Linked DNA regions of Sus scrofa. The protein of the gene in region 4 interacts with the protein of the main gene of each other region in a pairwise test. Links are inferred from orthologs where the notes say so. Each region holds a gene or a part of one and is shown on either strand. Other genes may lie near its edges.

What was found.
Region 1: the proteins of LZTS2 (region 4) and GPANK1 interact in binary tests that used the Homo sapiens proteins (3 or more experiments, as listed by UniProt). The two-hybrid records come from large-scale screens. The link is inferred for Sus scrofa from reciprocal best matches to the Homo sapiens genes LZTS2 and GPANK1.
Region 2: the proteins of LZTS2 (region 4) and NCK2 interact in binary tests that used the Homo sapiens proteins (3 or more experiments, as listed by UniProt). The two-hybrid records come from large-scale screens. The link is inferred for Sus scrofa from reciprocal best matches to the Homo sapiens genes LZTS2 and NCK2.
Region 3: the proteins of LZTS2 (region 4) and THAP7 interact in binary tests that used the Homo sapiens proteins (3 or more experiments, as listed by UniProt). The two-hybrid records come from large-scale screens. The link is inferred for Sus scrofa from reciprocal best matches to the Homo sapiens genes LZTS2 and THAP7.
Region 5: the proteins of LZTS2 (region 4) and USP2 interact in binary tests that used the Homo sapiens proteins (3 or more experiments, as listed by UniProt). The two-hybrid records come from large-scale screens. The link is inferred for Sus scrofa from reciprocal best matches to the Homo sapiens genes LZTS2 and USP2.
Region 6: the proteins of LZTS2 (region 4) and TEAD4 interact in binary tests that used the Homo sapiens proteins (3 or more experiments, as listed by UniProt). The two-hybrid records come from large-scale screens. The link is inferred for Sus scrofa from reciprocal best matches to the Homo sapiens genes LZTS2 and TEAD4.
Region 7: the proteins of LZTS2 (region 4) and FKBP6 interact in binary tests that used the Homo sapiens proteins (3 or more experiments, as listed by UniProt). The two-hybrid records come from large-scale screens. The link is inferred for Sus scrofa from reciprocal best matches to the Homo sapiens genes LZTS2 and FKBP6.

The regions. Positions count from the first base shown.
Region 1 is NC_010449.5:23,777,510-23,781,822, forward strand, and holds the start of GPANK1 (G patch domain and ankyrin repeat-containing protein 1), read right to left. Parts: upstream 2,838-4,313; 5' UTR 2,312-2,837; exon of another isoform or gene 1,899-2,311; intron 1,822-1,898; exon of another isoform or gene 1,819-1,821; 5' UTR 1,730-1,818; coding exon 1,125-1,729; intron 232-1,124; coding exon 1-231.
Region 2 is NC_010445.4:49,106,373-49,110,794, forward strand, and holds the start of NCK2 (cytoplasmic protein NCK2), read right to left. Parts: upstream 2,809-4,422; coding exon 2,583-2,808; intron 1-2,582. UniProt on the Homo sapiens protein: Adapter protein which associates with tyrosine-phosphorylated growth factor receptors or their cellular substrates. Maintains low levels of EIF2S1 phosphorylation by promoting its dephosphorylation by PP1.
Region 3 is NC_010456.5:50,590,828-50,594,933, forward strand, and holds THAP7 (THAP domain-containing protein 7), read right to left. Parts: upstream 2,952-4,106; 5' UTR 2,947-2,951; coding exon 2,734-2,946; intron 2,562-2,733; coding exon 2,482-2,561; intron 2,161-2,481; coding exon 2,005-2,160; intron 1,585-2,004; coding exon 1,444-1,584; intron 1,270-1,443; coding exon 705-1,269; 3' UTR 585-704; downstream 1-584. Other genes in the region: tubulin alpha-3 chain, read right to left, coding at 3,368-3,664. UniProt on the Homo sapiens protein: Chromatin-associated, histone tail-binding protein that represses transcription via recruitment of HDAC3 and nuclear hormone receptor corepressors.
Region 4 is NC_010456.5:112,081,207-112,084,858, reverse strand, and holds part of LZTS2 (leucine zipper putative tumor suppressor 2), read right to left. Parts: intron 3,641-3,652; exon of another isoform or gene 3,501-3,640; intron 3,353-3,500; exon of another isoform or gene 1,770-3,352; intron 994-1,769; 5' UTR 952-993; coding exon 544-951; intron 1-543. UniProt on the Homo sapiens protein: Negative regulator of katanin-mediated microtubule severing and release from the centrosome. Required for central spindle formation and the completion of cytokinesis.
Region 5 is NC_010451.4:46,587,545-46,591,994, reverse strand, and holds the start of USP2 (ubiquitin carboxyl-terminal hydrolase 2), read left to right. Parts: upstream 1-1,640; 5' UTR 1,641-1,770; exon of another isoform or gene 1,771-1,774; intron 1,775-3,781; exon of another isoform or gene 3,782-3,901; intron 3,902-4,450. UniProt on the Homo sapiens protein: Hydrolase that deubiquitinates polyubiquitinated target proteins such as MDM2, MDM4 and CCND1. Isoform 1 and isoform 4 possess both ubiquitin-specific peptidase and isopeptidase activities.
Region 6 is NC_010447.5:67,164,744-67,169,086, reverse strand, and holds the start of TEAD4 (transcriptional enhancer factor TEF-3), read left to right. Parts: upstream 1-1,507; 5' UTR 1,508-1,532; coding exon 1,533-1,758; intron 1,759-4,343. UniProt on the Homo sapiens protein: Transcription factor which plays a key role in the Hippo signaling pathway, a pathway involved in organ size control and tumor suppression by restricting proliferation and promoting apoptosis.
Region 7 is NC_010445.4:10,668,272-10,672,387, reverse strand, and holds the start of FKBP6 (inactive peptidyl-prolyl cis-trans isomerase FKBP6), read right to left. Parts: upstream 2,814-4,116; 5' UTR 2,487-2,813; coding exon 2,430-2,486; intron 2,229-2,429; coding exon 2,111-2,228; intron 1,702-2,110; coding exon 1,612-1,701; intron 807-1,611; coding exon 604-806; intron 1-603. UniProt on the Homo sapiens protein: Has an essential role in spermatogenesis. It is required to repress transposable elements and prevent their mobilization, which is essential for the germline integrity.

The DNA.
Region 1 (4,313 bases), on a different chromosome or scaffold from region 4:
GGGATGGGGTTGGCACGGCCTTGACCTTGGGGTCCCAGTCCCTTTCCAGGCTCCCAACCCCCCCTTAGGAGAAGCTTAAAGCCTGGGCTGGAGGTAGGCACCCCAAGGGGCAGGTTGGGGGGCTGGAGATCCCGGGACAGTGAGAGCAGGTGAGCGGTGGATGTACGGTGGTTAGAGTCTTGGAAGTGGGCATCACAGGTCTCACAGTACTGGGGGGAGAGGGATCGGGGCCTGCAAAGAAAAAAGAATGGTTAAGGGCAACACAAGGATTGAGGCCTCAGGAGGGTGGCAGGGTTAGGTCCTTCCTGTATTTCTGCTGAGGAACAAATTGCCTTCCTCCCCACTTCATGATAAGAGACCCAAAAGGGAATAGTTGAGCCAACAGATGTTAAAAAGGCTTCACAAAGTTCTTGGGTGATGAAAAATAACAATAGTGACCATAGCTAGTGTTGGTATAGTGCTTAGTATGGGACAGGTGCTTTTCTAGCACTTTACATATATTAACCTATTTGACCCTAACAACCCTAAGAGAAAGGTGCTTTTATTGCTCCATTTCTTAGATGAGGAAACTGAGGCACATGGGTTAGGTTGCTTGCCCACGTAAGTACAGTCAGGATTTAAACCCAAGGAGCCCATGCAATGTGGGAATATAGCAAATATACGTGAACTATACTTCAATTAAAAAACTTAAAATTTTTTTTGTCTTTTTTAGGGCCACACCTGCGGCATGTGGAAGTCCCCAGACTAGGGGCCAAATCAGAGCTGTAGCTGCTGGCCTATGCTACAACCACAGCCATGTGAGATCCGAGCCTCATGTGAGATCTACACCACACGACAATGCCAAGATCTTAACCCACTGAGGTCAGGGACTGAACCCTCGTCCTCATGGATACTAGTTGGGTTTGTTACCACTGAGCCGCAATGGGAACTACCCCAATTTTTTTTTTAATGAAAAAAATGTTTTATATAAAAAATAATCCAAGGGAGTATCCTGTTCATAATCACACTGCCCGATCAGCCTACATTAGGGAACAGGAAAGTAAACCCTTTGGCTCTATTCTGTGGCCTCCTGTGTGAAGTGTGAGGAAGGGCAGAACACAATGAAAGATAAGGCTTCCCCTTACCGGTTCTCTGGACTCCTTGTCTCTCCGGGGCTCTCTCTGACCATGCGGGCCACTTCAGGGAAGCCTGCTTCTTCCGCCAGCTGAGCAGCATCCCTGCCACCCAGCTCGCAGACCCCCACCCAGGCCGCCCCACGGCCCAGGAGATAGCGCACAGCTGCCCCCTGGCCTGCTCGGGCAGCACACATCAGTGGGGTCCACCAGAAAGCATCTCGAGCGTTGATATTCCCTCCAGCTCCCCCTGCCTCATGGGGATCCAACAGCTTTTTCAGTTTTGCCAGGTCCCCCTCCTGGGCTGCCCTCAGTATCTGCTGGGTCATCTTGTCCTCTGCCTCAAGGGATCTCCTTTGTCCATCTTCTCCTGATGCTCCTGCTGTAGTCTCCCTCATCGTTCGTCTTTTCTTCCTCTTTCTAGCAGGCTCAGGCTGAGATCTCTGGGGCTCAGGGGTGCTGTCCTCGTCCCCAATCAAAGCTTCATAGAAAGCCCGGGCTGCAGCCCCATCCAGGGTGGGCTCCAGCTCTTCAGGGTGTGACTGCAGTTGCCCATCTTTCCAGAGATCACTGGGGTCAGTGGCTGGGGTAAAGTTAATGAGGGAGGACCCGGACATGGCTTTGGGGAGAGTTGGGAAAATGAGATTAGGCAGGGGGAAGCCAAGTCCCAGATGGTCCTGCAATGACCAGAATCACCTACAGACACCTGCTGGGATAAAAACAAGTATCCTTAGAATCAAAAATCCCCTCCCGGGAGTTCCCTTCGTGGCTCAGTGGTTAACAAACCTGATTAGATTCGATCCCTGGCCTCAGATCAGTGGGTTAAGGATCCGGCGTTGCTGTGAGCTGTGGTGTAGGTTGCAGACACGGCTGGATCCTGCGTTGCTGTGGCTGTGGTGTAGGCCAGCAGCTGTAGCTCCAATTCCATTTCTAGCCTGGGAGCCTCCATATGCCACCGGTGCAGCCCTAAAGACAAAAACAAACAAAAACCCTCCTACGCGGAAAGTGAACCCCGAGGACCACGGATTGTGTAAAAATAGGAAACCCTATGGTAACAGACCATGCCCCTTAGTAAAGGTTAACAAAGTAGACTCTGTAAGACAGTTGCCCAGAAGTCCTGTGCTCTGCCCCCACTCCATCCTCACCATCAATAATAACAGCCTTTCTCTGAAACTACTTTACAACTGCGCGGGACATACCATTAAGGAAAACAATCAGCCTGGCTCTTTAAATCTTCCTGGATCCTATTTCGGGGTATTCTTAAACAAAAACAGACTTGACATTTGTCCGGAAGCAGGAAGCCGATTCGCGGGGAGGTTCCACTCGTTGCTTTGCAGCTTCCGTACTGCAAAATGGCGCTACTCTAAGCAAAGGCGTCCACAGTCAAAGCCGCATGCGCAGCTGAATGGGGAGCGGGCGGGGGACAAACAAAAACAATACTGGAGCACGCAGGCGCGCTGCTCCGGGCTATTTCCCGCCCTGGAATCTTTCCAATAACACAAGCGCAAAACGCCACGTGCCCTGGTAGCGCGAGGATCGAGAAATATCTGTCGGTTGGGGTCCTGCTTTTACCTAACGCCCCCACAATGCTCTTCGCCTCCCTCAACGTGGCCCCCGCTCCAAGCTCATTTTCTGGACCTGGGAAACCACCCTCTGGGTTAAGAAAGGCCCTGAGGCGGAGAATGCCCAGAAGCCGTGAAATGAAATAGTCACGCAGCCCCTCACCATTAATCTGACCAGGGTTGGAAGGTCGCACTTAGCACCCGCAGCAGAAGGCCCTGTTCAAGCCTTAAAAGGAAATGGAGAAGTGCAAGGGGACGAGCAACAGAATGGCTGGCGCCACCTCAGGTTAGCGCACGGGACCTTCCCGATTCTCACACCTCTCAGCTCAGCCAGCACACCCTACCCAGGTCCCTCAGCGCGGAACCCGGCCTCACCTCCCACCTCAGGAGATCAAACCCTTGAGTGAAATATGGGCCCCGTTGAGGGTCTCCTTGGCAGGCTGACTCGGACAGGGGGGCTCCACAAGCGATAAGGGCCAGGCAGCTGGTCGGTGATGAGGTCAATGGTCTGGGTAGCAGGGCCGCACGCCTGAGGCTCGTTGTGTGAGAGGGAGCGGCAGTAAATGATCCAGCCTGTCTTGTTCCTTTCCCCGCCCCCTCTCAGCCCCACGGTGATAAGATCACTCGACTATATTTCCCAGGCTCCCTGGCCCAGAACACGGTACTGCGTTTCCGCTTCCGGTGGCGGCTCCCTACGCCCCGCCCCGGAGCGTTTCCCTCAGGGGCCTCGCGACACCAGGGTCGTGGGCGGGTCGTCCTGGGATTCGTAGTTCGCCCTTTCTCAGTTGCGCCAGTTTCTAGCTTCCGAGGACTCCATCTCCCGGCGTTCACCGCGGCGCACGATTTTAAGCGCTTGCGCGTTGCCCTCTTCCCCACCCTCCCCAGTTTCCACTCCCCCCGCCCCACTTCGCCTGCCGCGGTTGGATCCGCGGCCTGCGTTGTAGCCGTCGCCGCGGTTCCTTGGAAGCAGAAACTCCCCTCCCCTCCCCGCCCCCCCGGTCCCAGTCCCCGTCCAGCCGGTGAGTCTGAGGTCGTTGCCGCGCCGCGTCCCCTGTTCCTGGGCGCGGCACAAGGGGTCTCCGTGCCTTGATGTGGGGGTGGGGAAGGAAGTGACCAGGTCCGGGACCGAAGGAAGGAGGGGGTGGTCTGAAGGATGGAGGCGGGATAAGGAGACTCCCGTGAAAGGGACCTAACTGCCATCCCCAGACTTTGAGAAAAAGAGGAGCTTAGCTCTTGCCTGGAAAGAAACTTCGGAAACCTTGGGAATGGGGCCGGGGACAAACGGAGACTTGCGGGGGTAGGGAATCTGAGCCGCAGGCCCTGCTGGAGTTGACATAGAGGAGAGAGGGGCCTGGCCTTGGGGAGCGTTAGGGATGTGGATAGGACTAATGGGTCAAGACCTGCCGGTTACACACAAGTGTTGGGACCCCAGAGAATTTCCTGTCTCTGAAAAAAGGGGTTGAGGTGTGAATAGGAGGAGCTGGAGAGAACTGCTCCAGTCTAGGATCCTTTAAGAAAGGGTGGCCCTAAATTCTTCTGTGGTTGGAGGGCAAAGTGTGGGAAGAGGGAGGATATCAGAGGCAGGGAGGAGAGCTTAGGCTGACACTCTTCTTTTTCTAGCTGAAGTGAAGATGAGCAG
Region 2 (4,422 bases), on a different chromosome or scaffold from region 4:
TGGCACCCAGCACGCGCATGCACTGGCTGAGCCAGGCCCCCTGAGTTCTAGAGTCCAGGGTATGCAGACACATGGGACTGACCACAGCTCATGAAAACCTGAACCCTAGAGAGAGGGGTGCTTCATCACTCAGCTGTCTTTTTGTTCTAAAAACCAAAGGAAAAAGTGACAAGCTGTTCAAAGGAATCTGGAGATAACGCGAGTGCCTGCTTTGTCTTAGGTTACTTCCTAGCATTCTGCTCAGTTTCTGGGCATTTCCTTCTTCTTTTCTTTTTTTTTCAGCCACGCCTGCGGCATGCAGAAGGTCCCAAGCCAGGAACTGAAAAGGGACTGAAGACATGCCACAGCAGTGACCGGAGCCACTGTAGTGACAATGCAAATCCTTTACCTGCTAGGCCACCAGGGAATTCCCTGAGTATTTCGTTCTTTACTAGAATCCTGAGAATAGATTTTTTTAAAAAACAGTAAGAATATAAGTCAACAATGTTCAGCATCTCCAAAAGCAGGTACTTCAGTGAATGAGAGGCTGAAATTGGAAAAAATAAATAAAATTATGTCAGGGCACTCAAAGTATTTACCTATTCATGCTTCTTTCTTTCTTTCTTTCTTTTTTTTTTTTCCTCGTCTTTTTAGGGCTGAACCTGTGGCATATGGAGGTTCCCAGGCTAGGGGTCGAATCAGAGCTACAGCTGCCAATCACAGCCACAGCCACAGCCACTCAGGATCCAAGCCATATCTGTGACCCACACCACATCTCATGGCAATGCCAGATCTTTAAACCACTGAGCAAGGCCAGGGATTGAACCCATGTCCTCATGGATGCTAGTTGGGTTCATTAACAACTGAGCCACGACGAGAACTCCTGCCTGCCTTTCCTTATAGTTAATGAAGAGTTATAAACACTGGACAACAATATTCTTCTCAAGTGACATGATCATCAAGAAAAAAAAAAAAGGATAAAAAAGATAAAAGGGTGTCAGATTTGTGAAAAATAATCAGCTTACTCATGAAAAACAGAATTTCTCCATCAGGCAGAACCTACAGTAGTCAGTGTGAATCACACACAGGACTATGTCTCATTTCTCCCTTCAAATTGTGGAAATAACCTAACATGTAACATAGAATTACTACCCAATGGATAAAGGCTCTAAATGGTTTCGATGAGAGCAGTGGATGCGTTCAGATTGCAGAAAAATGAAAGGTGGGTAGGTTGCAAGTCTTGTCACATGCAGAGTTTAACATTTTCTTTCTGGTTTTCCTACCTGTTCCCCTCCCGCAAATGAAACAAATTCTGTTAGAAATGAAAAGGTACTCTATCTAGTCACTTGTGATGGAGCATGACGGAGGATAATGTGAGAAAAAGAACATATATATGTATGTGTGACTGGGTCACTTTGCTGTACAGCAGAAAATTGACAGAACACTGTAAATCAGCTATAATGGAAAAAATAAAAATCATTAAAAAAAAAAAACATTATGAGACTACTGCCAAGTAGTCAAGAATAAAGTATCAACTTAAGTCATTTTGTCCCAGTGAACTTAATTGTGATGGACTTCTCCATCTGCCATAGCAAGAACTGCTTTCTTATTATTTAATACTCAATTTATTCAGCCTAAAGACTGGTTAGACATAATTTCTTATTATCAACTTAGATGCAATAACTAATTATTTATTCAATTATTTTTTTTTTAATTAAGGCACCTCTGTTATACCAACAACTGTGCCAAGATTGAGGACATGGCCATTAATAAAAATTAGGGGAAATCACACCAAAAAAACCAAAGAAATGAAAAGGAAAACCTCAAGGAAATGTCACGTGGGTGATAACACTCATGTTTTCAACCTCAAACTCTTCTGTGATAAGCAGTGGTCTCAGGTGGCAGGGCCCACGCTCTCACCCACACTCTGCAGCAGTAACTACTGTGCAGAAGTCTGATACCCACACTGAAGCAATACTGGACACCATCAATATCAGGGGATGCAGGTGGCCTTTCCCACGGCTGGATACCAGGGAGGGGAAACAGGATCGCAGGAAGAAAGCCGGGCAGATAGAGAGCCCCCACGAGTCACCCTGGTCAGCTGGCATCACACCGCCACTCCTGTCCCCACTTAGCTGGCACTGCCCAGGGCTGCAGTGTGAAATGCCACCAATTTAAAAGAGGGGAAAAGTTCACCTGGTTCAAAGCGCTTTTCGCTGTCTGCTTCTCTATGCACAAAAGCCACAGGTGCAGGATTCTGTGAGATGGAAAAGCTCTGGTGGAATGACACAGGTGGAGCTGTGGACATCCCTAGGGGATGGCAATTCCATCCCGGGACCCTCCAGAAAGTGGATGCCAGGAGACAGAAATGAGCAGGGGCCCCGGACACAGAAGGGTCCGCTCACATGGAACTCCAGATTCTAGAATCTCCAAGAAACGACACAGTGGATTTCTCCGCTGGATCTCTCCCCATTTCCAGAATTTCAGAAAAAGACACGAAGAAAGATGTTAATACTTAAAACATCCTTTTTTTTTTTTTTTCCTCTCCTACACCAACTAAAACGATGACCCCTCCTCCCTGCATCCCGAGAAAGGACACTCACCCAGTGTGTCCTTGAGGTTCCTCACGAGGGAGCCCTTCTTGAGGCTGTTCTTCCGCTCCACGTAGTTGGAAGGCACATAGCCCGTCCTGTTGGCCGCGTTCCGCACCCGCCACCATGTCTTGGAGTCGTCCAGCAGCCACAGGCGCTCGTTCTTCTTGATGTCCAGCTCCTGGTCCTGCTGGGCCGTGTAGTCCCACTTGGCTATCACGATGACTTCTTCTGTCATCTTTCATGGAGTCCTTCTGTCAGCAAAACAGGCGAGAGGCTCATTAGAGACCAAGCCAAAAGCTTCATCCTTTGTCCCCACTTGGAAGATGATGCCCTGACAGCTTTTAGTAAAAACTTGGCCACTGAATGTTGCCTGGGTCTCCAAATAACCTTCAGCGACCTTCCTTCAACACATGGGAATACTTGGTTTAGAAACGGCAGCCTCGTGAAACAAATCTTAAGTTTGCACACTAGGAATTCTGCATGCTCTGACAAAAACAAGCGGCAACCAAAAAAAACCTTCCAAGAGTTCTAGACAACCATACGAAAAGGAAACCTGCTTACAGGATGAAGGAACACCAGATCCTTCTGGCTGATCTCTTGATGCCTACTATCTAAGGATATGCTTAATTTTATGGACATATTTAATGGACATGACACACCCAAACTACAATGTGGTATCTTGGATTGCATCCTGAAATATAAACACTGGTAAAATCCAGATAAGTCTAGCCAACAGTGCCACTGACTAATTTTACCCCTGACTGTTTTGACGAAGGTCCCTAAACACCTAAGATGTTAGCACTAAGGAAAACTGAGTCCGGGATACCTGGGAAGGCTATCTTTGTACCTTCTTCCTTAAGTAAAAAAGCATTCCTGGAACCTGAAACACAGACGTTTATTGTAGCTTCACTCGCAATTGCCAAAATTTGGAAGCCATCAAGATGTCCTTTGGTAGATGAATGGAGAAACAAACTGTGGTACATCCAGAAAATGGACTATTATTCAGTGATTGAAAAGAAATGAGCTGTCAAGCCACAAAAAGACATGGAAAAACTTCCAGTGCTTATGGTCAAGTGAGAGAAGCCAATCTGAAAAGGCACAGACTGTATGACTGGCACAAAGACTCTGCTATTAGATCAAATGGTAGTCAGGCTCTTCTGATTTCTCTTCCCAAACGAGTTCGGTACTTGAGTCTGTCTTTGCAGTGCCCACTTTTAGCAAGAATCCTGCTAAGCTAGTTCAGCCAGGTGCCTCCACCCTTGCCCAAGTGGTGTCTGATCATCCCGGGCTGCTTTCAGGAGGGATCCTGTGAGGTCCATGTAGCCAGAACCCCCCTTAGCTCTGCTGGTTCCTCGTAGTGGTTGTGCATGCACCTGCTGCCCAACCTGCTGCCCAGCTATAAAGTCTCACTTCCCCTCCTGTATGTGGAATGGAGCCCAAACTCTCCCCCCCCCAACTGAGAAAACCCCTTATTGTACTCCCCCTAGTAAAGTCTGCTGGACTGGTCTTTAATGAGTGTCATTTTTTCTTTAATAATTCCAATGATGTGACATTCTGGAAATGGCAAAACTACGGAGATGTTACAAAGACCAGTGGTGGCCGGGAAAGGGGAGAAAGCAATGATGAGATGGAGTGCAGGCATTTTTAGAGCAGTGAAACGAAACAACTCCAAAGGATACTATAAGAGTGAGTATGTGTCACGACACACTTGTCAAGACCCATAAAACGTGGAATACTGGGAATAAAAGTATTGTAAAATCATGCCAAAATTCAATTATCTTTAAAACAAAAAACAGAGTATAGAGCATACTTAGTTAACTATGGAATTATCTATTATTAATAAATGGCT
Region 3 (4,106 bases), about 61 Mb from region 4:
TCTGGGGATGGAAGTCTGTTGTTTTCTTGAAAACGAAGTAAATCTGGCCTGGATTTTATGACTGTTTCCAAAAAGGCCAGCTGGGTAAATCAAGGCTTAGTGTCAAGTGAAGGTTGCCCAGCATTGCCCCCGACCTCTATGCACACCACCCTGTCCCTCAGAGAATGTTGTAGAACAAGGAGCTGCTTGGGGAGGGGTTGCCAAGAACTGGGCTCTGCTCTCCACAGCCAAGAGCTTGGCCTCCAGGGTCTGAGCCCTCCAGGCTACAGCCAGTCTGGGGGGAAGCAGACCTCAGGGGAGGGAGGGGGCCCCACCCCCAGCAGAGGCAGAGAACAGGGCTTCTTTCTAGAATCCACTTTTTTTTTTTTTTAAGGGACATACTGTGTCAAATGGAAGTTCCCAGGGATTGGAGCTGTAGCTGGGGCCTATGCCATAGCCATGGCACCACTAGATCCGAGCTGCATCTGCTATCTTCAGTGCAGCTTGTGGCAACACTGGATCCTTAACCCACTGAGTAAGACCAGGAATCAAACCCACATCCTCACAGATATTAGTCACGTTCTTAACCTACTGAGGCACAATGGGAACTCCTAGAAACCGCTTTATTATGGCATCTGGCAGGTCAGACACAGCTCAAGTCAGGTCCCTCTCTAGGCAGATCCTGAAGGAGGAAGAGGCAGGAACCCTGATGGGCAGCTCCTCACTCAGGCCATGCTGCTGCTTAGCTGCATGGCAAAGTCGTGCACATGCTCCTTCAGAGTCTGGCGGGCATCTGCCTGTGCCCGCTTCTCCCGTGCCCGCTCCTGCTGCAGCTTGGTCAGCCGTAGCCTCAGCCGTTGCTCCCGCCGCTTGCAGGCCTGCAGTTGGCGCTGGGCCTTGTCCAGGGCATCAAGGGCAGCCTCAGCCCGCCGCTTCCAGAGCAGGGCACTGCCCACCTGGTAGCTGTGCTCATTCTGGATGTAGGCTCCAGCAGGAGGAGGGAGGCGCAACATGTAGGCTGAGGGTGACACAGGCCGAGGCTCCAGAGGGGACGGCTGCCGCTCGGGCTCCCGCTCGGGGGAGGGCTGGGTGCTGCAGCCTGCTTCATCAGCCTGGGCACCCAGGGGCCCCAGGAGGTCTGAGAACGGGCTGCTGAGGCCAGGCTCCAGCCTCCCAGTAGGGGAAGCAGACAGAGCAGCAGGTGCGGAGGCCTCTTCCACAGGAAAGCAGGTGACATCAGCAGGTGGAGGTGGAGAAAACGGAGTCGTGGGCCCTCGGCCCTCAGAGCAGCTACAGGGAGACAGAGCAAGGGACAGGCCAGGCTCAGGGCTCAGTGACCTCATTTCACCAGCCCACCTAACCCCCATCCCTGAACCATAGGCTCAGAGCCCTGTCCAGCAAGGCTCCATCCGAAAGCCCAGTCCCTCAGACGTGAAGTGGGACATCCCCCAGCGCAGCGCTTACCGCTTCCTGCATCGCCGAAGCCGGCTGACATCAGGGGGGCCGGGTGGGTAACTGTGCCCCTTGGTCTTGGCTGTTCGGCGCAACTTGGAGAAAGACTCAAATATTGTGGGGACTGCTCCCTCCTTCAGCCTGTGGTACCCACTGTAGGGGAAAGCAGTCTGAAGTAGAGAAGAGGGCCTGCACCCCAGGCTGACCTGCAGGGTGCGGAGCCTGCAGCCCCCCAGCCCCTGAACAGGATCCTGGGCTAGCACTGGGGCAGGTGGGAGGCACACTGCAAACAGCTAGTTTGGGGGATGCCAAGTTAAGAGGTACCCCATCTCCTCCATGAGAGCCTCCTGAGAATTAAGGTGACTGGAAAGGCCCCACCAGAACTGGGCTGACCCCCTGAAAGGAGCGGCTATGTTTGTGCCTTTGCTGGCGTGCCTGGGCTCCAGGAGCACCCTCTGGCACAGTGATACCCGGGGTGTGTGTGTCTCTAACTGCTTCCGTCCGGAGAGGAAATTGAGATTCTGAGCTGGGAAGAACCAGGGCGGCCTGCCCTGGTGTCAGCAGGAGGCTCACCTGATTCCCACCAGTTCAAAGCAGTTCTCCTCGAAGTGTTTGGAGCAGAAGTAGATGTACTCGGATGCTGGGTCCCACAAGCCCTGGCCGCTGGGGTCCAGCCGCTGGCAGTTGGCCAGCCACAAGCCTCGCCTCGGGTTGTCCTTCTTGGGAAGCCTGTAGGGCAACAAGCCTGTCAGAGCTGGGCCGCCGGCGACACACCGGATGGGAAGGGCCGGCCTGACTCATGCTGCCCCCGGACCCTGTGGGCACACAGACTAGGAAGCTGAGGCCTCAAAACGTAAAGCGACTGGCTCTGCACCAGGGTGCCTCTGACAGCAGCTAGTTCCCTCTCCACCGCAGCTCCGCCCACCATCAGCCTCTAACTCAAGCCTCGCCGGACCCGCCGAAGCGCGTGCGCAGTGAAGGCTCCTCAGGTGGGCAGGACAGACTAATGAACACGTGACCCTTTCGGCGCCAGCGCGCACGCGCGCTGACCTGTGGAAGGAGATGCCGCGGTTGCGCGTCTCTCGCGTGTCCCGCGTGCAGCAGCCGGCGGCGGAGCAGTGACGCGGCATCTGGAGAAGAGGCAGGAACTCGGTTGCGGGCTGCTATCTGGGCCCGGACAAGCCTCGCGCCCCTAGCCGCCACCCTGCTCCAGGCGGCCCCGTCCTGGCGCGTCCACACCGGCCCGATCTCGTCAGAGGCCCTTCCCAACCCACTCTCCCGTCTCCCGTCAGCGGCACTTACGGTCTCGCCATTGCTGCGCCGCCGAAGTCTCGCGAGATGTGGCTCGCGGCGGAAGTCGGTACCATAGAGACCCGGAAGCGCGCGGCGCTCGCTGAGGGGCGGAGCGGGCCCCGGAAGTGGTCGGCCTGCGGGGCGCCGCGCGCAGGACCGAAACGACTCTGACAAGAACGGGCTGGTCGTGCGATGCGGAGCCCTGGCTGGGCGGGCACGCATGCCTCTGATGAGAGGTGCCCCTTGTGGACGGGAGGGAGGCTCTGGGGCAGCTCCTCCAGAGGACGGGGCGAGGAGGGTGAACGCTGTGGTCCCGCGACTGTGACCCGGACCGCTTCCGGTCCCGGAGGAAGGGCGCGAAGGATCCGGAGTGTTTAAACTTAAAACATTTTCCCCGATTTCCCCACTGGCCTTATACTCTTATTCTGGAAGTAATACAGCAACTGAGGTGCCTCATTTTTTCTCTTTGGGAGGAAACATGATTTTTCCCTAGGAATTCGCTCGGAAAAGGCAAGTATCTGGTCGGGGAACTTGGCCGAAGAGCAACACAGGAGCAGACGACACTCAATACAGAAACTTTAATAGGTAAACACATCTGGAACGTTACAGAGCAGGGTGAAGGGGGGCCGCCTCGCCCTCCCGCTCAGTACTCCTCCCCCTCCTCGGCCTCCGCTTCCACCGAGTCCACGCCCACCTCTTCGTAATCTTTCTCCAGAGCCGCCAGGTCCTCCCGGGCCTCCGAGAACTCGCCCTCCTCCATGCCTTCCCCCACGTACCAGTGCACGAAGGCACGCTTGGCGTACATGAGGTCGAACTTGTGGTCCAGGCGGGCCCAGGCCTCGGCGATGGCCGTGGTGTTGCTCAGCATGCACACGGCCCGCTGCACCTTGGCCAGGTCTCCCCCTGGGACCACCGTGGGGGGCTGGTAGTTGATGCCCACCTGCCAGAGAAGGGGAACAGATGGAGACGTTTATACTGTGGCGTGAAAAATGGTACCTTGTTTTTTAAAACAAGGCCCCATGGGAATTGGTACTTTCTTTTTTGGCAGTATCTGACAACATTTAATATTCTTTGACCCAATACTGTCACGTTTTGGATTTACCCACATAAGAGCAAAAGCTACATGTATAGAGATTTTTATGTATTTAGTTTAGGGTACTGTTTGAAATGGCAAAACTGGAAACATGTCCTTCCTGGGGAACAAGTTATCACACATCTCTACAGTAAAACACGGTACCATGATGAAAAGGAATGAAGAACCTGCCCTGGCCTGTAAATATGTCCAAGGTGTATTGTATACTTGGTAGAAAGCAGAGCAAGTTGAATTCTACCTGAGTGTTTATACTTCAAAATACTTACAGAGTAACAACCAAAGCTGGGAG
Region 4 (3,652 bases):
CCATCTGCGGTCCCCAATCCCCACATAATAATAACAATTGCTACCACTGGCTGAGGGCCTCCTGAGTGTCGGGCTTTATCTCACACAATTTAAAAGGTTCCTCTCTAGTCATTACAACAGCCATATATATAAGCAAAATATTATCACTCTTCCCATACTACAGATGAGGAAATGGAGGCTCAGCAGAATTATGGGCAGTGCTCAAACAAACAGCTGTCGTGTCATAAAGTATTTCTGAGCAGCTATTGAGTACATATTAAGTGCCAGGCAGTAGGCTAAACAGTTTACACATGTTATTTAATTCTCGCAACAATCCTATGAGTTGACTTATTACCTCCATTTTACAGATGTGAAAACTGGGGGTCAGAAAGGTTAAGCGACTTTCCAGAGGTCATACAACCAAAATGAGGCAGAGCTGACACGAGAACCCAGATCTGGTGAATCTGGAGCCCACGCTCCTTCCTCTAAATAGGCCTCCAAACCTCAGCTTTTCCAAGAGACCCCTGATTCCACCCAGGCCCCAAAGGACGGGCTGGTCCTCACCTTCTCCAGCTTTCCAGAGACAGGGATGAGCTTTGGTGGGGGGCCACGGAGATGGGCATTTCGTGCCCGCTGCTCTCGGGCATCTTCAATGTCACTGCTTGGGCTGGGGGGTGACTCTGTCCGGAAGTCCTCATTGATGTAGGTAAAGTTGGTGCCAGGGACAGCCTTCCTGGGGGGCACAGCTGGGCACAGTGGTTCCTGGGCCTCATAGCCACCCCTCAGCAGCCCATCCTGCTGGCGGAAGAAGGTGGGTCCAGGGGGACCATGGTGGCGGGGAGGAGCCGGCCCCCCGGGGCAGGGCCGGCCTGAGATGAGGCTGCTCACGCTGCCCATGGCTGGAGCTTGTGGGGCAGTGGCGGCCTCAGGAGCGGGCTCCAGTGGCACCGGCAACGTCTGCACAATGGCCATGGCGGCAGAGGCTCAGGCCTGGCCAAGGGCCTCCAGGGAAACCTGTGAGCAGGGCAGTGGTATCAGAGTCTCTCCAGTTTGAGCTCCTCCCTAAATAAGGCCGAGTCCCTCCTGGTCCTTCGGAGGTCAAACAGCCCGCTGGCACCGGTAAGCAAGCACTGAAACCCCCCAGGGCTACTCCTCTGATCAAGGGATGGAACCTCAATTCTCCCTGGGCCCCAGACCACTGCCCAGCCCTGGTCTGAACAGAGCTGAGGCCTGAATAGACGGAGCAGGGATGAGGAGGGGATGGGAGGCCTGGTGGTTACACAGGGCCCTTGGTAGCAGAGGCCCAGGCCCCAGCCCCAAACAGCATCCCCCACAGAGGTCAGGACTCAAGTGAGGGAGGGCGCCCTCTCTACCAGCTCCTAGCACAGGCCCCTGGTCTCTTGGGGCAGGTGGCCTCATTAGAGGTGGACAACCTCTCAGGGGTACAGTCAGCAACTCAGACGGTAATTAGGGTACAAAAAGCCAAGGCCAGGCAGTGCCCAGCCTCCCCCAGCTAGGCCTCAGCTTCTCCCAGACAGAGAGGCGGGAAGGGTGGAGCTGGCCAAACGAGAACCCAGAGCTCTTAGGGAGCCCACAGGTGCCCTCTGGGGTCTCCTGCCTCCCAGAGGTGGATGCAGGTTCATGCTTGTTTCCATGACAACTCCCAGCCTTGCCACACCCAATCAGTGGGGCCTACAGAAGCCCACGCAGGCCCATTGCCAACCTCTATGAAACCTTCCGGCTTCAGACATTCCCCGGGTAACCCTGAGGAGATAAGAGAGAAGCCCTACCATCACCTCTGGCAGCTGCTCCAAGTTCTCACTTCCCTGGAGCCCAGGGAAGAGGGCTCCACCTCCCCAGCCCCTGCTCCTTCCTGGAAGAGGACAGCAAGTCTCCGCCCGGAACTCCCTCCCTAGTCCGGAGGCTGAACACCAGGACTCAGGCATCTGCTGAAGTCATCATGCAGAGCAGGGGCCAAGATGTGGACAGAGAATTGCGTAGGAGTAGGAGTGTGTGCATTTACTTATTTGTGCGTGTGAAACTGTGCACGAGAGCATGAAAATGAGCACTGTGTGTGAAAACATGAGTGAGTGTGTGTGAGTACACATATATGTTTGGACAGATGCAACGGTACGTTCAGGCACACGTGAGTATCTATGTGCACTCATACGTGCAGATCTTAAAAGAATGTTTGCAAAATAATGTATCTCTCTCAGAAAGTACATGAAAGTTACAAATGCATACATAATAAGTGAATTTGTGGTACATGAGTGTGACTATGAGAGATGTTTGGAGAGATGTCCATTCATATATACATGAGTATGTGTACCTGAGGGTGCACAAGTGTGTACAGAGTGTGCATACAGAGCAATGTGTGTGCATGGGAGCATGAGAGAGAGAGAGAGAGAGCGCACGCCTGGGTGGCATGCAGGGCCAAATGGGTGAGTGGGAGCCTGGTTTTTGTCACTTGCTGGAGTGTAGGGAGAGGAGAGACGTTATCCTTTGCTTGATCTGCTCTCCTTCATTCCCGCTTGTGTTCCATTAAGGTCCCCCCCCTCCCGCCCCGCAACCTCCCCACTAAAGTCAAAAGCCCTAGAGAACTGGGGAGGTGTCCCGACTGAGGAGGAGCGGAACTGGGGTCGGGGTGACTGGTGTCCAGGGAGCAGGGGTAGGGGCTGAGTCCACCCCACAAGTGCCAGCCCTGAGCAAAGTCGGTGGAACACGCCCTCTGCGCTCTCCCAGGCCACTCCAGAGCATGGAGACAACAGCGGGGAAGGGGCTTTTTAGGGGGCTAGGGGGACTGGCACCTCTGCGTTTTCCTACTTTTCAGTGAGCACAGAAAAAGTGGAAACTGAGGGGAGGAGACAGAGACTCCGAAGACGGGAGACAAAGACTGAAAGCGGCCCCAGGGTCAGGCGGATCCAGTGAGCCAGGGGCCCCTCAACCAGAAGAGACATCAGTCTGGGCCCTGAGATCCAGACACCCAGCGAGCCAGCGCCAGGCGTCTGGAAAGCCAGGCCCAGCCAGCCAGGCTCCCGCTCTTGGAGCCCGAGAGAGAAGGAGGGGCAAGTGGAGGCTCCATTTTGAGAAATGCGTTTGTGGCTGTGGGAAGAAAACCCCTCGCTCTCCGCAACATCCTTGAAAAACCCGGACAGCACACGCTCCCCCGCTCAGTGGGCTGGGGGCGGCTGAGGGCTGGGTCCAGCTGGGGCCCGAGGGAGGTCTGGCCAAGGTCCGAGATCCCACGGACCTGTTTTGGGGGCAGAAGAGTTGGGGAAAGTCTCCCCCTCACCAAACTCCAAGGACCATCCAGCGGGATCAAGTCTGGGATCACGAGTTCCCATTCCGAGAGACAGGAAGCCGGGAGCCCCCCCACCCATCCCCCGGAGTCCACCCCCCACCATCCCCCGCCGCTTCCATAAAGTGGGGGCAGCTGTGGAATGCCGCCTCCCCACGGGACCTCCGCCGAGGAGAAGTTGGGGGCGCCCCCAGGCCGCCTCCCAGCCCCGGCGCCCCCTCACCTCCGCCGCGCTGCTCCATGCTCAGCCCCGGGCCGCCCCCAGCGCTCCACAGGCGCGCCGCCTGGCTTCAGCCCGCGCGCCCCACTCGGAGCGGCCCGGCCCGGCCCGGCCCGGCCCCGCCTCCGCAGCGCCCCCGGCCCGGCCCGGCCCGG
Region 5 (4,450 bases), on a different chromosome or scaffold from region 4:
CTCCAAGAAAACTATCAAGAGGAGAAAGCAAAAACCTAAGTTCAAGATTTTCATTTGTTTAAAGGGAAGAACTGGGAGACTTATACATCAAAGGGAAAGTTGGTAGAAAAGGTAAGATTTTTGTTTTGTTTTTTTTTCTTTTTTTGTCTTTGTAGACACTTCAGTTCAATAGAAGTCTTAGCTCCTCCTCAAGGGATATACATAACAATCTGATGTAAATCTTTTTAAGTTCTGCTAGAACTAAGCCCCCCCCCCATGGAGGATGGTAACTATGTAACTACCAGCTGAGACCCTGGTCTGAAACTAAGGAATGATGTTGACCTTTGCTGACCCTCATTGACTTCAGTCAACTAAAGCTTGGATTCTGGCAACCTTTGCCTCAATTCTATTGTGAATTCTCTTTGGCTCAAGGCCCTTCATGAATATGCATGCACCCTTAGCTTTAAACTTCCCCAATTTTGCTGTTCCAGGATACACTGCTTGGGGAAAGACACCGCCGTGCACACGCGCGCGCGCGCACACACACACACACACACACACACCCTGCCCCGGTGTTCTTCTTACTTGCTACAAGTAATAAATTTTACCTTCTTCCAATCTTTGGCTTGGTTGTGTCTTTTGGCTTGAAGCCCACCAAGAGGTGAACCCAGTTTTCAGGTAACACTAAGGAACAATTAAAGAGTTGAAATCCAGAAGGGATTTGTCCTGGACAAGAAGCGGGACACTTCTTTCACTGCTCTTGGAGCAGAGGGAACACTGGATTTGGATATATTTGTAGGAAGAACTTTAAGTGTTTTCCTCCTGATTGCTTCTAGTTTCTCTGGGAAAGAGAAGACAAGAAGGGACTTCAGAGTGATGATGGGCAGAAATACCAGCCTTGCATAAGAACAAGAGAAGCAGCTAAGGGCACGAAAGGATTGATGGTCCAGGTGAAATTGAAAACCTGGACTTGCCCCGGCACCAATCTACATGGCTATGCGGTTTTCTTCACCACCGCAGTGTAAGTAGAGAAAGGTTATACACAAAGAAAAGGAGCGGCAAAAATTCAAATTTCCTTTCGGCTTTTTCTGAAAAGACAAAAGAGAATCCTTCCATTGACTCAGTGCCTCCGTTCACCCAGTCAAGGGGTCATCACTAATCACTGGTCTCCTGTTACTGAGTGGAGAGTCTTAAAGAGTAGAGAAAAAAGAGAAGAGGCAAAAAAACAGGTCCGCTCCTGGTCGGGTGGGAAGGAGAGGAACATTTAGCCTTCCCTAAATACTAAAAGCTGCTATATATGCCCTGGGACTCAACTTCTGACCCTTCCCCCCAAGACGCTTCCTCTTTCCCAGTACCTTACACCTCTCCCGTCGTGCCACATTCTTGCCGCATTGGGACCCTTCTCGTTGTGCTCCACCCCGCCTCCAAACTCACCTTTCCTTCACGTGGCTCTCTGTATATATCGGTCGCCTGGGAGACCCTGGCCGGGCGGAGTCTAATGACGCCACAATAGCAAAAAGCCAATAGCCGTGATGCGTCTCAGTGACGCGAAACGCGGGGTGTGACTTTGACGGCCCCGGCGCAATGAGGCAGCTGCCCGCTGGGTGGCGCCGATTTCCCGGGGAGGTCCTCTCTGGGCCCCCGGCGGAGGTGGGGGAGAGGCGGGCTGGAGCGGAGACCAGGGAGCCCTCTGCGTCAGCTGCTGCTCACTGCGCCGCTCCAGTACCAGTCAGGACTCACCCGCAGCTCCATGCTTGTGCCCGGCTCGACTCGTCCATCCTCGGAGAAGAGGCAGGTACCTGCCACCTGTCGGATACTGGGGAGGGGTGATGCGGAGGGCAGTGTTGTTTGAGGCTCAGAAAGTGAGGTGCCAACGACAGGCTGGGCAGAATGGGCACTAGAAATGTAGGGCGAGTTCCAGCTGCGCTGAAGATCTCCAGCTGTGGGTACCAGTTGTAGGGGGGAGGGGGGGCACCAGCTGACAGCCCAGGGTGCCAGGAAGAGCCATCTGTGCGCTAATCAGTGTGTTCTACGGAAACGCTGCTTGGGCAGGTCCAGGTCTCTGAGCCCTGGGTGGGATGTGGCTGAGAGTGACGCCTGGACACTGACAATCCTTTCCCCACGTGTGCGAGCAGCTCATTTACTCCCTCTGTCAAAGCTCCTGGGGGCTGTCTCTGGTCGGTTTGCCAAAGGGGGTGGGGTGGGGGGAGGGTAGCATTTAAGTGGAAGGGGAGATTTTCCACCAATCCCAAACCAGAAAGAGGCATCTTTGAAATCTTCACCAATCCCAAACCAGAAGCAGGCACGCGGTGCTCTAAGGCTAGTAACTTATATTTAACAGCCAAAGGGAGCCCTGGCCAATCCATTCTAGTTGTCCTCTAAGGAGTGAGCATCTACCTCCTGACCTGGCTGCTCTTCGAATGGGGCCGAGTTGGAGATCCTGCTGCTGCTCGCCTCCCCAGGCACAGGCATGAGAAGGTCCCCCAATGAGAACCCAAGGAAAAGGAGAGCTGGTTGAGCTGGGGTTGGATCAGCCACCCCTTCTCTGATGCTGTAGATAATGTCAAGCCGGGGTCGGAATGAGGACTGGAATGAGGGCCGGGGACAAGGGCGTCCTCTGAAGTGCATCATCAGGACCGGAGCTGAGTCAGTAGCCTCTGCTGAGACAGGGTGGAGGCCCCATCTTGGGTACTCCCAGTCCTCAGGGAGAGCCATCGAGAAACAGGCCAGACAGACTGGGAGCAGACCAGAGCACCAAGAGCCGAGAGGTTAAGAATCCTGCTCCTTCCTCCTGTGACCCTGCCCAGCCAGCCCCACTCCTTGGGCTCCGGGATCCTGAGCACTCCTACAGGTAGAGTGGAACTGCCCCAGAGCAGCTGGGCTTGCTCCCGGGAGCCCCGGGGAAGCTGCACTTGCTGTATTTTTCTAGGCAAAGGAGGAAGGAGCCCAAGAGGGCCCGGCCTTTTGCCGGTGGGTGGACTGGACATCTGGGAATGGGGCAAGCCTCGTTTGCCTTGCCACTTATGGGACACAGACCTGCTCAGAAAACCATGGCATTAGAACAGCACTCCCGCGGGGTAGCCTGGAGGCCCTTTTCTCCCTAGCCAGGTTCCCCCGAGGGTGCTACTACAAAAACTACCTCTAATTATAAGTGGAAGTATTCAATATAGTAATAATTACCATTTATTGAGCTCTTACTAGGTGCCAGGAAATTTACAAATATTATTTAATCCTCACACCTGTGAGGTATAACATTATTATTATTATTATTCCCATTTTACAGACTAAATAAGGTTCAGAGGGCTTAAGGGACTTGCCCACCGACTTAGAGCCAATAAAAGGGAAAGAAAGAATACAAGCCCAGGCTTAGAAGTCCATTATAAATGAGAATGGCCTGGGAACCTGAGGAGGTCTCACCTGCCTTTGTATCCGTGTGCCCTTGAGCACGCTGCTGTCTGCCTCTAGGGCTCTTCCATCTCAAGAGTAAAGCAGGCAGACAAGCACTGAGGCTTCTTCCTCTCCTCCAGTTTTGTGACTGGCACCTCCTTCTCCATATTTTTGCCTCCATTCCACCCCCATCCCTCTACCATCTTTCCAGTTCTATTTCCCCTTGAATCCCCCTTCTGTCCCATTTCAAAATCCCTCCCTTCAAACAGTCTTGTAGGATCTTGCCTGGCACGGGCCCACCTCAAGGGAGGGCCTGCCACTGCCCCTTTAATTCTGCCCAGGCTTGGAATGCCAGTGAGTGGAGCTAGCCATCTCCGTGAGGTCAGATAAGATACTATATATATCGGAGTCAGTAACCTGAGCTCCGGATTACCCGGCCCCAAGTCAGACTCCTGCCTCTGGGCTCGCCACTGCACTCCCTGCCCTGCTGGGGAAGGAGAAGCCCCCAGATCCCATCCCGTGTCCCTGGACACAGGTCAGTAGCTGTCCCTTTGCTATCCAAACTTCACAGGGCTGTTGTCCAGAGGGCCCTGGACTGTCTGTTTGGGGGAGCCCTGTCTGTTTGGGGGAGCATGTGAGAGGCTGCCCCACCTGGCCTGGTAGGTGCTATGAGCAAGACCAAAGGCTCAGAGACCAGGAAGAGGAGAGGAAGCCCTAGAGGAGAGAGGGAGCCTGGGGCTCTCCTGTGGGGTGGGGGCACCCAGAGGGAGGTGGTTGGAAAAGAAGACCTGAGGACTCCAGTATTGCCTGGGGGCCTATATCTTTGCCTTTTCTTGGAAGTGTAGCAATGCCCACCCCCTCCCAACCCCAAATCAAGAAGCGCCCTCTAGAGACGCCACCCTCAGCCCACCCAGCTCTTCTCCAGGCAGGATTCTGGCTCTAATCTCTGGTCTCTTTATCTAACCTCTTTGCCCCCTCCGATCCCTTGGGCAACTACTGGGATTGAGAGAGACTGAGAGGGGCCCCAATCCCCTTGGATGACCCCCTTCCAAGGCATCTGCAACTGGTGGGTCACTGGGTGCCA
Region 6 (4,343 bases), on a different chromosome or scaffold from region 4:
TGCTGCGTCACAACAGGAACTCCTTGCATGCTTCTTCTAAACACATAAAACACACAACGTTTATCGTCTTGAACCATTTTTTTTTTTTTTTTTTTTTGTCTTTTTGCTATTTCTTTGGGCCGCTCTCGCGGCATATGGAGGTTCCCAGGCTAGGGGTCGAATCAGAGCTGTAGCCACTGGCCTATGCCAGGGCCACATAAACGAGGGATCCGAGCTGCGTCTGCAACCTACACCACAGCTCACAGCAACGCCAGATCGTTAACCCACTGAGCAAGGGCAGGGACCGAACCCGCAACCTCATGGTTCCTAGTCGGATTCGTTAACCACTGCACCACGAACCATTTTTAAGTGTGCAGTTCAGTAATGTTAAGAGCATATTCAGAGTTCCCGTCATGGCACAGTGGAAATGAATCCGACTAGGAACCATGAGGTTGCAGGTTCGATCCCTGGCCTCGCTCAGTGGGTTAAGGATCCGGCGTGGCTGTGGCTGTGGCGTAGGCTGGCAGCAACAGCTCCGATTTGACCTAGGCTGGGAACCTCCATATGCCATGGGTGAGGCCAGACAAAAGACAAAATAAAGCATATTCATGGAGTTCCTGTTGTGGCTCAGTGGGTTAAGAGTCCAACTAGTGTCGATGAGGATGTGGGTTCGATCCCTGGCTTCTTTCAGCAGGTTAAGGATCTGATGTTGCCACAAGCTACAGTATAGGTCACAGACATGGCTAGGATCTGGCATTGCTGTATCTGTGGTGTAGGCCTGCAGCTGTAGCTCTGATTCAGTCCCTAGCCTGGGAACTTCCATATGCTGCAGGGTGGCCCTAAAAAACAAACAAAAAGATTTTTTTTTCATTTTTAAGGCTGAATAACACTCCACTATACGTAGAGACCACATTTTATTTAGCCATTCATTTGTCCATGGACACTTGGGTTCTTCTGTCCCTTGGCTGTGGTGAATAATGTTGCTTTGAACATGAGTGTCTTTGAGACCCTACTTCCAGTTCTTTTGGGTATATACTCAGAAGTGGAATTGTTAGGTGCTATGGTCATTCTCTTTGATTTTTTGGTTGGCCCTCCATGCTGTTTTCCTAGCGGTCACACCATTTTACATTCCCACCAACAGAGCACAGTATTTTGTATGCTCTTGGCCCTTTTTGGTCTAATGTAGAACATCCATGGTACTTGGCCCTCATCTAACTTCTCAGCCCCATCTGGGTTCCTAGAGCCACAATCAGACAGTGCCTGGTTGCTGAGCTCCTTTGATGGGGTGGGGAGCTGAGGTCTGTGGAGGGGAGATGACCTGCCCTTGACCAGCCCCTCCCCACCCCGCCCTGCCCCGCCCACCTCACTCTTTGCCCCATGGGATTCCCTGGCTTTCCCCTTGAGCTCCTGGGCCATGAGCACCAGGAAAGGAGAAGCACCTGGTTCAGGGGTGGTGCTCCCTGGGTTCCCCCACCCCCTTGTCCACACGTTCATCCACCAATGCTGTGCTTTCTGCCCACCCAGGTCCAACGGGCGCTCCTCCAAGCGGAGCCTTGGAGGGCAAGGCCGGCACCATTACCTCCAACGAGTGGAGCTCTCCCAACTCCCCCGAGGGGAGCAACGTCTCTGGGGGCAGCCAGGCTTTGGACAAGCCCATTGACAATGACGCAGAGGGCGTGTGGAGCCCCGACATCGAGCAGAGCTTCCAGGAGGCCCTGGCCATCTACCCGCCCTGCGGTCGGCGCAAGATCATCCTATCGGATGAGGGCAAGATGTACGGTAAGGAGGCTGTCAGTGTTGGGCAGCAGGCCCGCCAGCTCATGGTCCAGCCCCAGGAACAGCCTGGGCACAGCAACCCGGTTCCCTCCAAGTGATGGAAAGAGGTGACCTCTTGGGGCTTGTCCTGGCAGACGCTGCTTTACTCTGTCCTAGGCTCCCAAGGGCTGGGAGGCATCAGGGGAGACACCTTTGGGTGGCTGTGAGGATGGAACTTGGGAAAGCCTAGAACATCCCCCCGGGGCAGGCTGGGAAAATCCCTTTAGCCACCCCCCAGGCAGATGCCTGATCTCCCAGCTTCCCACTGTGGCTGTGAAGGCCTTTAGGAAGGCGGTCCTGGTTCACTCCCTCATTCATACCTGGGCCTTTGGTGTGCCAGGCAGGGGCGGGGCAGATCTAGTCCCTTCTCATGGTACGTGGGGGTGGGCATACAGGTAACTGTACACAAGGCGTTGAGAGTGTCCCGGGGTTGGGGGGGGGTGAGGACCACCCCCCTGCAGGAGTGTGCCCCTTAGCTGAGAGCCATCAGGGAAGGCGTGGTCTGGGGCTCCACACGCCCTCTGCGTCATTGTCAATGCAGGACACAGAGGCACTTTGTCCCGCAGACCCTGGGAAGGAACGAGCCGTCTGCCTGGGCTGTGTTGACTTTGGGATGGAAGAGAGGGTATCTGGGAAGCAAAATGAACACGGAACAACTTTTAGAGGCTCCGTTCAGGCTTCCATTGCCATTGGAAAGTTCCCTGGGACCCCCAGCCTGAAACACTGGGACTGGGTAGGAGCTGTGGGGATCTCTGACTGGCTGAAGCCCCTGTCCACAGAGGGTCTTGCCCTGCTTCCCATGAGATGGCTCTGGGCCAGTGCCCACCCCCACGTGGGTGCCCCTCCCCCAGCACAGATGCCTCATCAGCTGACTGATCTCAGCTCCTAGGGCTGCTGTAAAAAACCACCTCGAATTTCAGGGCTGCCTTAAGATGACAGACATGTATCCTCTCCCGAGTCAGAAGGTTGAAGGTCTGAACTCAGGGTGCTGGGGGTTGGCTCCCCTTGGAAGCTCTGCCGGAGGATCTGATCTGTGCCCCCTCCCAGCTTCTGGGGGCAGCTGGAGGCCCTTGGTGTCCTTGGCTTGTAGCTGTAGCACTTTGGTCTCAGACTCTGTTGTCACATGGCCGTCCTGTCTGTCTGTCTTTGTGTGTCCTCCTCTTCTAAGATACCAGTCGTTGGATATAAGGCCCCCCTTAATCCAGTGTGCCCTCATCTTAGCTAGTTAATTCTGTAAAGACCCTGTTTCCTGGAGTTCCCTGCTGGCCTAGTGGTTAAGGATCCAGTGTTGTCACTGAAGCAGCTTGGGTCACTGCTGTAGTGTGGCTTTGATCCCTGGCCCAGGAACTTCCAGATGCCATGGGCAAGGCCAAAAAAAAAAAGATCATTTCCAGATACGATTACATTCTGAGGTTCTGGATGGATGTGAATGTTGGGGGCGGCGGGCGCTGTTCCACTCTGTTCAATTAACTAAACTCAAATCTGCTTTGTGACTGGTCTAGGGAGCCAGCCCCACCTGCTTGTCTTTAATCTGCACCTGCCCTGCAAGGGCAGGGATTCCTTCTCCTGCTGGAGGAAGCAAGGTCCTTTCGAGCTAGACCCCAGCTCTGCTCCTCGGTTACCTGTTACAGCTGCTCATCCGACTTTACCAGCCCCTCCGCTGAGGCTCTGCGGGGCCCCCACTTCTGCGGGTCTCCACGCCCTGGTTTGGGCTCCCCTGGCACCTTGCTCTAACCACGTCCTGCTCCAGTGGTTGCTTCTTACTTTGGGTCCCCATGGAAGCTTCACGGAAGAGGCAGCCGCTGTGCGCAGAGCAGCTGTGGGTGCCAGGGGTGGGACCTGCTTTAGGTAGGCTCTTCCCGTGGAGCTGGGTGGCCTGGGCTCTTCCACGGCTTGATGGAGAGTGGGGTGCGTGTTGGTCATGAGCTGAGGTGTGACGGTGACGTCGTGGCGGGGGTGTGGCTGGAGAAATCAGGGTCCCTTGATGGGGCAGTGGTCAGTGCCCAGGCGCCTAGCAGGATTGATCTTCCTGCTTTAAAAGGACACATGGCCTGGCAAATACAATTGTGTTCGAGGCGCTCGGTGTGGGGAGAACGCTGAGGGTGCTGCCTGTTGGGGAGGCCCCGGTGGTGGCAGGTCTGGAGAGCCAGCAGACAGTCCTCGCGTGCCACAGTGGGACCCACTGTTTCTTTGTTACCCATTCTTAAGTGTACAGCTCAGTGGCATTAAGTACGTTCACATTGTGGTTGAGCAGCCATCCCCACTGCCCGTCTCTAGAACTTTCTCATTCCCTCCAACTGAAACTCTGTCCCCGCTCAGCACTGGCCCCTAGGTCCCTCTCCCGCAGTCCCTGGTACCCGCCATCCAGTCTACCGCTTTGGCTAGAGCTCCTCCAGGGCCCTCATATACATGGAATCACACAGTATTTGTCCTTTTGTGCTGGCTTTTTCACCTGACATCATGTCCTCAGGGTTCCTCCGTGTCATTTCAGGTGTCAGGATGTCCTTCCTTTTTAAGACTGAATCACCTTCCACTGTACGCACGAGCCG
Region 7 (4,116 bases), on a different chromosome or scaffold from region 4:
AGTTTAGCTGGGGAGACATCATATACATATGTAAACCTGAGCTGGATATCAAAGGCCACATGGACAGTCAGGGCGAACAGCATGACAAGGACAGGACCTGACTGCTGGTGATTAGAAGACCTAGCTCTAAACTCTAAGGGATGAATTAAGTGAAAGACTACAAAGCAAAGGCAATTTTTTTTAAGTTATGGGGACAGAACCCATCTGTCCCAGTTTGCCTGGGATTGTCCCAGTTTACACCTGATGTCCTGCTATAATAAATTATATGGTCACCCTAGTCAGGATCTATCAATGCTTGATTTGCTGGAAACCACTGTTGAGAAACAAATGTTCACTGTCTTGCAGGGAGAGCTAGACAAACAGTGACTAAGAGACCAGCTCAAGCTGCTAGTCCCTAGCAGACTCTCAGCCTAGCACACATGCCTACACATGAAGCCAGAACTAAGACAGACAAATACTAACAAGTGGGGAACTCCCCGCCCCCACCCCCCAGGGCCTCAGTGGAACCTGGGGCTGAGGATCATTAGCAGATAAGGATAATTACCGAAATACAAACCCATCCCATTCTCTCTTAAGTGCTGACATCTGTGCCCCAGGACTCACCACCGAGAGGGCACAAAACTTGTCCGACTCAGCAGAGTCCAGGAAGTCAAGCAGCTCAATCTCAAATAGGACGGTGGTGTTTGGGGGGATCAGGGGAGGACAGCCCAGTGTTCCGTAGGCGTAGGTCGGTTTGAACAGGAACCTTGCCAGCTCTCCTCTCCGCATGCTCAGAAGGCCCAGCTCCATGCCCCAAAGTGTGATGTCTGGAAGAAGGGACCAGAAGCATGGTGGAAGCCGACCCAGTATCTTGTTCCAATGCCAATGACTTTCTTCCCCCTTCCAGGTCCACATCTCTCTGCATGGTATCTCCAGCCTTTCTACACTGTGGTCCCAACACGCTTCTCAGCCTTGTTTCCCTACCACCACCACCTCCGTCCCAGACCTTAACTCCTCTAGGCTCTGCAGCAGCCTTCGTCCATGAAGTTCCTTCTTCCTCCAGTGTTGCCCCCGCCCCCACCCATGCCCAGCTTCTACCTTGGGGGGATTGCTATTCAAACGTTAGGGATCATGTCAAATGCCCCCTCTTCCATGAAGCCTTCCCTGAACCTCCCAGCTGGAATTAACTCTACCTTCAATTGAGCACTGCCACAAAATATGGCTTACACTTCCTAGAAACTCCACCAGTTTAGCTGTCTGGAATATGTTAATCTCCCTCCCCCACACTGGCCCCAGACCTTCTAATCCTCAGTACCTCCTCTCTTTTCCCTGTGCTTTGGAGGTAGCAGGCATTCAATAGGTGTTGACTTAATCAACTAGCAAAGAAAAGTGTAGCACCCAATATTTAAGTCAGGCTGCAAAGATAACTCTGCCAGCAAGGCCATCTCCCAAACACCTATGTCTCAAGGAGGGAAGCATGGAAGACAACAGGGCTGGTTTAGCAAAGCCCAGCCTCAGAAAACCAACTCAAAGAATCAGCGCTCCAGATCATTCTGTGGTCTTAGGGTGTTGCCCTCATTAGGGCAATTCCCCAAATGATCACTTCTTTTCCAGCTCTGTTTCTGAACTTACCCTCCCCAAGTTTCATGAGCCGAGGAGTTTTCCTAAAGCAGTTAGAATCAAAAGGCTTGTCCATGTGCTCCAGATATCCAGAATATTTCACTGGGACAGAAGAAAGAGATAGTGGGAGGTAAACGGACCAAAGACACCCTCACCGCCCTATCAAATTTCCTTAATTGTCCCACAAAAATAATGGAAGTACCAGCTGCCCTTAAACTGCCCCTCACCAGGAGTGATTGGAAAAATCTTCGCTCAACGTTTGGAGGCCTGCCCACAGGCTCTGAGGTTCGAGAGCTGGGCTGGTGGGATCCCTTGTTCTCCGTAGTCCCATTACAAAGGGGTAAGGGGTTCCCTCCTTATCCCTTAAGACGCCAATTATAACAAAACTCATGTTTTAAACGTGGCCTCCAAAATCAAAGTGCAGAGCCAAGCCTGGTGCCCAACACCCGCCAACACTTGGGCACTGCCAGCTTCCCGAGGGTGGACGGCAGGCGGGTCTGCGGTCCGTTACCGAGCACCGAAGCGTCGGGTGTCACCAGCTCTCCAGTCCCCTCTCGGATGACATCCTTCAACACGCCCCGGTCCCCGGAGATGTCCAGCATCCTCTGACTTAACCGCTGGTACAGAGACTGGTGGGGGAATGAAACACAGAGTCTCAGAGCCCGGGGCTGGCGCCCCGACTCCGGCGGCCAAGGCCCCTGCCTCTCCAGCGCCCGGGCCCTCACCTGGCTGGGGGCGACGTCCCTTTGCAAGGCTCCCGGGTTCCGGGCGCTGCCCCCATCTCTGCGCGGCACCCCCCCCCTCCGCGGCGGCTCGGCGCCCCTTTATACCTGACCGTCCGCACCCGACCGCGGTGTTCCTTTCAGGGACCGCGAAGAGCCGCTCATGGCTCCGCTCCAAACGCCGCCAACCGCCCTCAGGGAGCGCGCACGCGCGGGAGAGTGGCAAGGCACGTGACCGGGCACGTGACGGGGCGCACGCAGCTTGAGCGGGCGCAGATTGAGGGCACGTGGAGCCTCATCAGGCGTCTGATGAGGACAAGCAGGGCCTGACGGGGCTCGTGGCAAAGGCGCGAGGAATAAGGACCAGCAATGGGGCAGGGGGTGGCCAAGCTTTGGGCACGGGCCGGGTGAAGCAGGATGGTGAGGACAAGGCCTCAGAAACGGCGGGCTGCTGGAAGCGTCGGGCCTGGCAGCCCTGGGTTATTTCCACCGTCCCTCGTTCTGCTTTGCTGTGGGGGAAACGCACGTGCAGATGAAAGGATGAAAATGCAACCTGACTCTCCCAGAACCCAGGAAGTTAATAAGAAGCTCTAAATGCCCTCGAATTCCAGACCCTGTTCCCTATAGGTAAAAGATCATACTTTTTGCTGTTTTAGGGCTTGCTTTCTGCTCTGTACAAAACTTTGTGGAAGGGGAAAAACAGGCCCCTGAGTATGTGCCTCTATGCTTGAAACTTCTTGAAACTGCTCCTAACTGCTTGTTTGGCTTCTGTAAACCTGCTTGCATAAGATAAAAAGAGGAGAAGTCAATTGCCTAACGGACCCCAGTAAGATCGGGCGTGCCACAAAATGTTGAAAATCCTGATAAATATATCTTGGTGACAATATGTCTCCCCCACCCAGAGACAGGCACAAACATGTAACTCCAGAACAACTTAAAATTAATTGGTCCACAAAGCGCGGGCTCTCGAAGTTTTGAATTGACTGGTTTGCGATATTTTAAAAATGATTAGTTTGTAAAAGCGCGGGCTTTGTTGTGAACCCCATAAAAGCTGTCCCGACTCCACACTCGGGGCCGCAGTCCTCTACCCCTGCGTGGCGTACGACTGTGGGCCCCAGCGCGCTCGGAATAAAAATCCTCTTGCTGTTTGCATCAAGACCGCTTCTCGTGAGTGATTTGGGGTGTCGCCTCTTCCGAGTCAGGACGAGAGGGATTTTAACTCGACTGGCCTTTCAGTTTGGTGCGTTGGCCGGGAAACCCGCGACTACCCCTCACACCCGAGAACCGACTTGGAGGTAAAGGGATCCCCTTTGGAACGTGTGAGTGTGTGTGTCGGCTGGCGTCTCTGTTCTGAGTGTCTGTTTTCGGTGATGCGCGCTTTCGGTTTGCAGCTGTCCTCTCAGACCGTAAGGACTGGGGGACTGTGATCAGCAGACGTGCTAGGAGGATCACAGGCTGCCACCCTGGGGGACGCCCCGGGAGGTGGGGAGAGCCAGGGACGCCTGGTGGTCTCCTTCTGTCGGTCAGAGGACCGAGTTCTGTTGTTGAAGCGAAAGCTTCCCCCTCCGCGGCCGTCCGACTCTTTTGCCTGCTTGTGGAAGACGCGGACGGGTCGCGTGTGTCTGGATCTGTTGGTTTCTGTTTTGTGTGTCTTTGTCTTGTGCGTCCTTGTCTACAGTTTTAATATGGGACAGACGGTGACGACCCCTCTTAGTTTGACTCTCGACCATTGGACTGAAGTTAAATCCAGGGCTCATAATTTGTCAGTTCAGGTTAAGAAGGGACCTTGGCAGAC